2 linked regions of the Canis lupus familiaris genome follow. The protein of the gene in region 1 purifies or fractionates together with the protein of each later gene. This does not show direct contact. Links are inferred from orthologs where the notes say so. Each region holds a gene or a part of one and is shown on either strand. Other genes may lie near its edges.

Evidence for each region. The genes of interacting proteins can lie anywhere in the genome.
Region 2: the proteins of KLC1 (region 1) and KIF5A purify together in Homo sapiens (co-immunoprecipitation; 7 studies listed by BioGRID and IntAct, counting the BioPlex papers as one, with this or other methods). This does not show direct contact. The link is inferred for Canis lupus familiaris from reciprocal best matches to the Homo sapiens genes KLC1 and KIF5A.

The regions. Positions count from the first base shown.
Region 1 is NC_049229.1:71,780,141-71,784,379, reverse strand, and holds the start of KLC1 (kinesin light chain 1), read right to left. Parts: upstream 2,848-4,239; 5' UTR 2,827-2,847; intron 2,493-2,826; coding exon of another isoform or gene 1,745-2,492; intron 1-1,744. Other genes in the region: basic proline-rich protein-like, read left to right, coding at 1,745-2,492, 2,857-3,017. UniProt on the Homo sapiens protein: Kinesin is a microtubule-associated force-producing protein that may play a role in organelle transport. The light chain may function in coupling of cargo to the heavy chain or in the modulation of its ATPase activity.
Region 2 is NC_049231.1:2,011,436-2,014,998, forward strand, and holds part of KIF5A (kinesin heavy chain), read left to right. Parts: intron 1-310; coding exon 311-412; intron 413-949; coding exon 950-1,010; intron 1,011-1,247; coding exon 1,248-1,319; intron 1,320-1,475; coding exon 1,476-1,580; intron 1,581-2,119; coding exon 2,120-2,140; intron 2,141-2,410; exon of another isoform or gene 2,411-3,215; intron 3,216-3,420; exon of another isoform or gene 3,421-3,563. UniProt on the Homo sapiens protein: Microtubule-dependent motor required for slow axonal transport of neurofilament proteins (NFH, NFM and NFL). Can induce formation of neurite-like membrane protrusions in non-neuronal cells in a ZFYVE27-dependent manner.

The DNA.
Region 1 (4,239 bases):
ACTGCTGAGCCACCCAGGCATCCCAGCAACTGTTTTTTATCCCTATTTTCCCAACAACTTAGCACAGCACCTGTCATTCAGTTGGTTCTAGATAGACATTTAAGGTCATGCTTTCACCATTTAATATGCTAATCATTTTTATTCTATGCCCTGAAATTTGACATGTAAAACCTGCCTGTACTTCAGTTTAGGATATTACTGATCACTTCTTTGTTACATAAAGTTCTGGTTTCTTATCATATTCCACTTATGTTTCCATGTTACATGAATCCTACAAATTAACCAATCTTTGGTGTTTATATTCCCATATGGAAAGCTACACACTGGCTTATCTTCAACATTACGAAATATGCTTAACGATATATAATTTGGCAGGGGTGCGGGGCACCTGGGTGGCTCAGCGGTTGAGCATCTCTGGCTCAGGGTGTGATCCCAGGGTCCTGGGGGGAGCCTGCTTCCCCCTCTGCCTATGTCTCTGCTTCTCTGTGTCTCTCATGCATGCATGAATGAATGAATGAGAATTCATCATTTTTAAATATATAATTTAAGTAACTACAGTTAAGTTTTCATTTTAAAGTACTTAAGAGAAAAAAAATAAATACTTAAGATACTATGTGCTCCTCCCCAGTGGTATTTTCTCTCATCCTTCCTAGCAGTAGTGTCCTGACTCCCATGCAGGTCTTTCTACCTTTATTTGCATCGTCTAGTGTTTTTAGAAGGTAGTACGAAGCAAAGTGCACGAGCCAGGTCACAGACAAGTTACCACCCTGGGTCCTCCACCCCCCTCAGTAACACCACAGGGCTGCCAGACTCCACTGCAACATGATGTTGCATTCTCTGATGACTTGGGGAAACTGGCTCTTAGGAGTGCCGAGCTTCCCACATGCAGTTCCCCCACTATCTGAAGTTTTTAATATTTAGTATCATTTGTATTCCTACAGATGCTTAGGAAACAGAACAATGAATCAAATTTCCCACCTTCGCTAAGGCCTGTTGCCAATCCCTAAAAGAGGCCAATCCAGAACAGGTAACAAGATGATGAGACTTAAGAACATCGTCCCAATTTCCTAATGGGTTTTTGACTCAACTACTTCCATGTATTTTGAGCTTAACGACTCTGATCAATAGCTTAGTCATGCTGTATCTAAAAAAGCCTTAAAATTTAACTAACGCAAAGAATCAAAGAACCGCCCTTCAATATACCAGTTTAAATAGCGAACCTCAAATTTTCTGTTGTCCTCACTTTTTTTTTTTTTTTAATTCATGAGACACACAGAGAGAGAGAGAGGGGCTGAGACACAGGCAGAGGGAGAAGCAGGCTCCACGCAGGGAGCCCGACGCGGTGCCAATCCCAGGATCCCGGGGTCACGCCCCGAGCTGAAAGCAGATGCTCAACCACTGAGCCCCCCCCCAGGTGTCCCTGTCCTCACACTTTAGAAACGTTTTTTTGCAAGGACTCCTTATGAAACGCCTACCGTAAATTGTTAATGTGTTGTTTAAATAATGAAACAATAAGCAACAATTCTAGCACAAAAAATAATAATTAAAAAAAAAAAAAAACAACCCACCACCTGGATCTGCACACCTTACGCTGTAAAACCACCCAATCCGCCAGGCACTACTACTACAGTTTCAAGGCGTTTAAAGGTCTTGGGGGGTCGAGAGGGCACCGCATTTGACAACCGCGTCGGGGCGGCTTCAAGTTTGGGAGCAGGAGCGACGCCAGCGCAGGTGGACGCGGAGGATGAGCGGGCTCGCGTCCCGCGGTCCAGGGGCAGGGGCGGCCGAGCAGGCGCCGCGGGGCCGGCCTCCCGGGGGGCCCCGGCAGCCGCCGCCCCCGAGCACGACAGGCGCGGCCGCCCAGGGCGGTGCCGCGGGAGAGGGCAGGGGCCGGAAGGAAGAGGGAGGATTCGGACAAAGCCCGGCCGGCCGCCCCCCCGCCGCGTTCCCGGGAGCGCCCCCCCCCCCGCCGCTCGGGGTCCGCAGCTGTTCCGCGAGCCGCCCCCCCCCCCCCGCAGCGCAGCGCAGCCCGGGGACGCGCGGAGGGGACCGACCGCGGGGCGCCGCCGGGGATGCGGGGCGGGGGCGCGGCGCCAAGGGCCCGACGAGGGGGCGCCACAAGTGCCCGTTGGGGTGCCGCGGCGGGGGACGGCCGGCCGCTCACCGTGCTGCTCCCGCGGGGCCGCGCGCTCGCTGTCAGCACCGGGAGGGCGCGGGCGCGGGCGCGTGCGCGGAGCCGGGCTGCGCGGGGCCCGCTGCCTCGATGCCTCAGGCGCGGCGCCGCGGTCACGAGCGAGGGGCGCCGGCGCGGCCGCCCCGCAGCATCCTCGGCCGCCCGCGAGCGCTGTCCCCCGCGGCTCCTCCCTGCAGCCGCCGCCCCGCGCCCGTCGGCTCCTGCTCTGCTCCGGCTCCGCCGCGCCCGCCGCCGAAAATGGCGTCTCGGCGTCCCTCCCCCGGCTCGGGGCTCCCGCCCCACAATGCCCCGCGCGGCCGTGACGTCACCGCCCGCCGCCGGGGGGCGGGGCGCGGCGGGGCGCGGCCGGGAAACTGAGGCCCGGCGCGGAGAGGAGGCTCGCGGGCGTGCGGGAGGGGGCGCTGGGGCGGGGCGCGGCCGCCTGGGACCCCGCGCCGGCCCCGCGCGCCTGCTCGCCCGCCTCTCGGCGCGCCGAGCCCCGGCCCCGCGCGTCTCCGGCGCGCGTCGCCGTCTCCCTGGAAGCCGCCAGGAGGGCTGTGAGCAGCCTGTCCACGGCGCGGCCGAGGGGCGAGGCCACGCAGCAGGCCCCGGGCCTTCTCCGGGGACACCTAGTCTTTGATCGCGACCCTGACCTTCCCCGCCCCGTTACGCCCTCGCCCCAGGGTCCTCAAGAATCCGAGCTCAGCGGGACTTTGCAGGCCTCGCTCGGAACTGCACCGCCAGGCTGGGCAGGGAGATGCCATCCCCGCGGCCGCACGCACCCCCTCCCCCGCGGCAGCCGTGCCACGACCTCCAGCCCCCGCCTGAAGGGCAGTACTTCCAGGTCAGAGCGCGCTCCTGGGCCTCAGCCTGCTGCACCGCCAGCTCTGCAGGCCTGACTCAGCAGCCAGCAGGAGGACGCATGCTGATTCAGGGGGCAATGCTCAGCTTTCTCTGCCTGCCACCGGCTCGGGAGGACCCCCCACCCCCACCACCTGGAGCCTGCAGACATCCCAAGAGCCGGGCCCTGGGGCACTAGTGACCAGGAGGCGTCCCTCCACCACCACCCCCCCATCTGCTTTTGAACTGCTCAGCTCTTCAGATAGATCAACCCAGCACCAACAGCCGGTTTAACCCTAGAATTACACAGCCAGTGGGGGAGTAAATGCTCCTCGATTTTCACAGGGAGATCCAATTACTTTTTTTTTTTTTTTAATTATTATTACTTATTTGACAGAGAGCACAAGCAGGGGGAGCAGCAGAGGGTGAGGGAGAAGCAGGCTCCCTGCCAAGCAAGGAGCCCAATAGGGGGCTTGATCCCAGGACCGGGGATCATGACCTGAGCTGAAGGCAGATGCCTAACGACTGAGCCATGCAGGTGCCCTCAATTACTTTACTGTTTTTTTTTTTTTAAGATTTTATTTATTTATTCATAAGAGACAGAGAGAGAGGCAGAGACACAGGCAGAGGGAGAAGCAGGCTCCACCGATGTGGGACTTGATCCCAGGACTCCAGGATTACACCCTGGGCTGAAGTTAGACGCTAAACCACTGAGCCACCCAAGGATCCCCTACTTTACTTTCATATAAATGCAAAGAGTCAGCTAAAAAAGGGGGAGGGAGAAGCAGTGAATCAAACCACCTTTCCCTTAATGATTTGGCCACACTGCTGCTTGGATGTCACCTACTCCTCAACAGGCACCTAGGGGCTGGGCACACATTTGTAACCAACATGCTCTAGAGACGAGAGGAGTGGGCTGAGTGAGGCCTGCAACTCTGGGTGCAGTGATTGTTCCCTCCACTCGCCCAGGGAGGACCTGAGATGCTTAATGTCCTCTTCTAATGAGCAGCCAAGATCTTAAATCCTTCCTACTGCTGTAGTCCATCCCTCTCCATCCCCACTGCTGCCACTCCGTTTAGGCTTTATTATGTGGGACTCGATCCTGGGACTCTGGGATCATGCCCCGAGTCACAGGCACACATTCAACCACTGAGCCACCCAGGGATCCCTATCCTTTTTTTTTTTTTTTTTTTTTTTATTCATTCAAAGAGAGAAAGGCAGAGACA
Region 2 (3,563 bases), on another chromosome or scaffold:
GCCCAGGGTCTGGTTGGTTCACTTCCACGTGCCACTCCCCCAAAGCTGCCGCAGCTTTGTAGCCCAACTCCAGGAGGCACAGGAGTGAGGACTAGTTCTTCTCCTTGAGCTCTTATGATTAGATAGCCCATGGTTCCTCACTGTGTTGTGCAAACGGTGGCGTGCACCTGCCTCTGATAATCCAAACGTAGATGCACCAGTCCTGACTGGACCCACTTGTACCAGAAGGAAACAATTTGCAGAGCCAGTCTTTCCTTAACCCCTCATTAATAGCTTCTTGTTCTCTCCAACACCTCCTTGCCCTCTGCAGCCTGAATCAGAAGCTCCAGTTAGAGCTAGAGAAGCTTCAGGCTGACTACGAGAAGCTGAAGAATGAAGAACATGAGAAGAGCAGCAAACTCCAGGAACTGACGTGAGTGATGGTCCAGACTGCTACTCACTCATACCAGCAGAGGGAGGGTGCGATGGAGGTGGGGGTCTGGTGTTCCCAGGAAGTAGATGCCTCGGAAGAGTCATATGACAGGGTGGGAAAGGACACACCAAAAAACAAAAAACAGAAAGGAGACTTTCAGAAATGACCTCTATTGAATATTAGCTGCCCCAGCCTAGAAAGATCTTTGTGATATTCTGTTAAGTGTGAAAAGCAGGCTACAAAACAGGTTGAATGGTATGATCCCATGAAATTTTTGTGGGATGTACCTGCATAGAAGTAAGAGTCCAAAAAGACGGACACCAGAATGTCAATGGCAGTTTGATCTGTAAGTAACAGAATTATGTGCTTTTTATGAAACTCGTCTTACTTTTTTTTTCTTTTCTAATTTCTGCACAGAGAATGTGGGTAACTTACAAAATAAATAACAATAAAGTATAGACCAAAGGAATGGAGAGGGAGGAGAGAGGGAAGAAAGGTAATCCTGAGGGACTCTTGCATTTCCTTCTTCCCCTCCAGATTTCTGTACGAGCGACATGAACAGTCCAAGCAGGACCTCAAGGGTCTGGAGGAGACAGTTGTGAGTAGTTTCCCTCTGGGCCAAGTTAACAGAGTGAGGTGGGGGCTTCATTTCTTTCCCTGATTCCTTCATAACCCCATTCCTTATACAGAGTCAGTCCGCGGCATAATCAGGACACATCTTTTCCTAAAGGATGAGTGACTCACCTGACCAGATAGACTGACAATTCCAATAGTTTTGGAGGCAAAAGGTTGAGCTGGTATTTGGCCAGTCCCAATTTGTCATCATTCTTTCTAGGCCCGGGAACTCCAGACCCTCCACAACCTTCGCAAGCTGTTCGTTCAAGACGTCACGACTCGAGTCAAGAAAGTGAGTGCCATCCTTGACATCTTCCCAGCCCTCATACTGTCTGCTGGCCTCAGGTTTCTCCAAGCCCTGTGGCCTCCAGTGTAGCTGGCTTGGCCTGGTCTGGGTGAGGCCTCTTTGGCCGTGGGACAATCACATCTTTTCTCCGTCTTTAATCAGAGTGCAGAAATGGAGCCCGAGGACAGTGGGGGGATTCACTCCCAAAAGCAGAAGATTTCCTTTCTTGAGAACAACCTGGAACAGCTTACAAAGGTTCACAAACAGGTAAGAGTAGGGGAAGGGGTGAAGAGAACTCTTGAGGCCAGGTGCCTTGGAGACCCAAATCCTCTGAGCTCCCTTGGATTTAGGAAAATCTACTTGCAAGTTTTCCTCACTTTTCCCTTTTACTTTCCTTACTAATCCCTTCTTTATTCATGTTTGGTTCCACTTTACCTTGTTCTTTGTTCCGTGCCTGTTCTCCCTTCTCAAAGCTCCCGACCTGCCTCTGCTCAAAGTGAGATCCCCCAGGCCTATGGATTTGGAGGGAGAGATTGGAACTGGTAGAGGTCTCAGAGGCAGGGGCCTGTAACTACAAACGAGGGATACTGGGCAGAGATAGGAAGCAGTGGGACAAGGAGAAGCCAGGGAAGTTGGGCTTTCCCTCATGGAGAGAACTCCATCTGCCTAGGCCTGGGGCAGGCATGCAGGGTAATGAAAGGATGTCCTCCAGATGGCCCAACCAGGCCCTAGTAGGGGCTGGTTGAAACTCCTGTGTATTAAGTTGCTGCCTCTCTGTCCCCCTCCTTGCTGCTGCGGCTCCTTAGGTGGATGACTGGGTTTCAAAGGTATGGGGTGGGGAGGTAGACGGGGCAGTCCAAAGGAGTCAGGACAGGAAATGTTTGGTGCGTACAGAGCAGGAGCCCCCTCGCTAGCGCCAAATGGCTGTGCCTTGAAGACAGGTGCCACCACATGTCAACTGGCTCTTCTAACTGACTCATAAAATAAACCCTAATCTATACTTCATTCGCTTTCTTTCAAACCCAACTGAACACTTGATTTAAACTCATATTCTCACTAAACTGGAGATTAGATTCCTCAGTGCAATGCCCAGCATATTTAGCAAATACTTGGTACATCTTCTTTCTTTTCTTTCTTACATCTATAATGAAAAAAAAAAAAAAAATCCCAGAATGGTCAGGATCTGCAGAGTTCATTTATTTTATTTGGGCCTGCAGAAGGCTATACTATCCTCTTTCGCCCTTTGTTTATTATAAAGCAGTGTAACAACATAACAACATTCCAGAAAAGTTGAAAGTCAAGGGAAGAAACATTTGTAATCAGTTCTACCACTCTGTTTCCCTTTCTGTGTGTCCACTTTCCTTCTCTGTTCAAATGCACGTCATATTGCTTATTTCCCCCCAATATTTGTGTTATGATAAAACAAAACCAAACAAAACCCACATAAAATTTACCACCACATAAAATTTACTTATCTTTAAGTTCAGTGACATTAAATGCATTCATGCTGTGGTGCAACACCCCTACCATCCTGCCCCATCACTGTCGTCTTGTAAAACTGTTTAAGGGAATCCCTTAAACAGTAACTCCCCATTGTGCCTCCCTCCCAGCCCCTGGCAAACACCATTCTTCTTTCTGTCTCTGTGATTTTTACTCCTCTGAGTACCTCACATAAGTGGAATCATCCAGGATCTGTCTTTTTGTAACTGGCTAACTGCACTCAGCATAATGTCCTCCAGGCTTATCCACAGTGTAGCATGTGTCAGGAAACCAAGGGCTGGGCTGTTTCCGTTTTCCTCATTGAAGTGGCTGCCTCTCTCTGCTCTAAGTCCCAACGACCAAAAGCAACTCCCCTAGACGATGGAGGACTCCTCATAATGTCCTACCTCAGCAGACACAAGACTAGAAAGGAAAATGAGAGAAGTGTAGAAACTTCTCAATTAACAGAAACTTAAATAGCCAGGCCTTCAGCCCTGTTCCTAATTAAGCTGAACCACTGTGACAGCAAAGCATTGTTTATGATCCTTAAATTGCCCAAAGTGAAAGAGGCACAGATGTGTTTTCAGCTCTGCCCTTTCTCCCTGGGCTCCCTGCTACACCAGCTTACCTGGTATCTTCCAAGGCCGGCTCCTGCAGGCTGGAGAGCCCCCAGTCATTGTGTGAAACCCTATAAAAAGATCAGGGAGTCTTTTTCTGGCTGCAAGATGGTTGCTCTCTAGCTTAAATCAAATGGGAGAGGGACACCCCAGG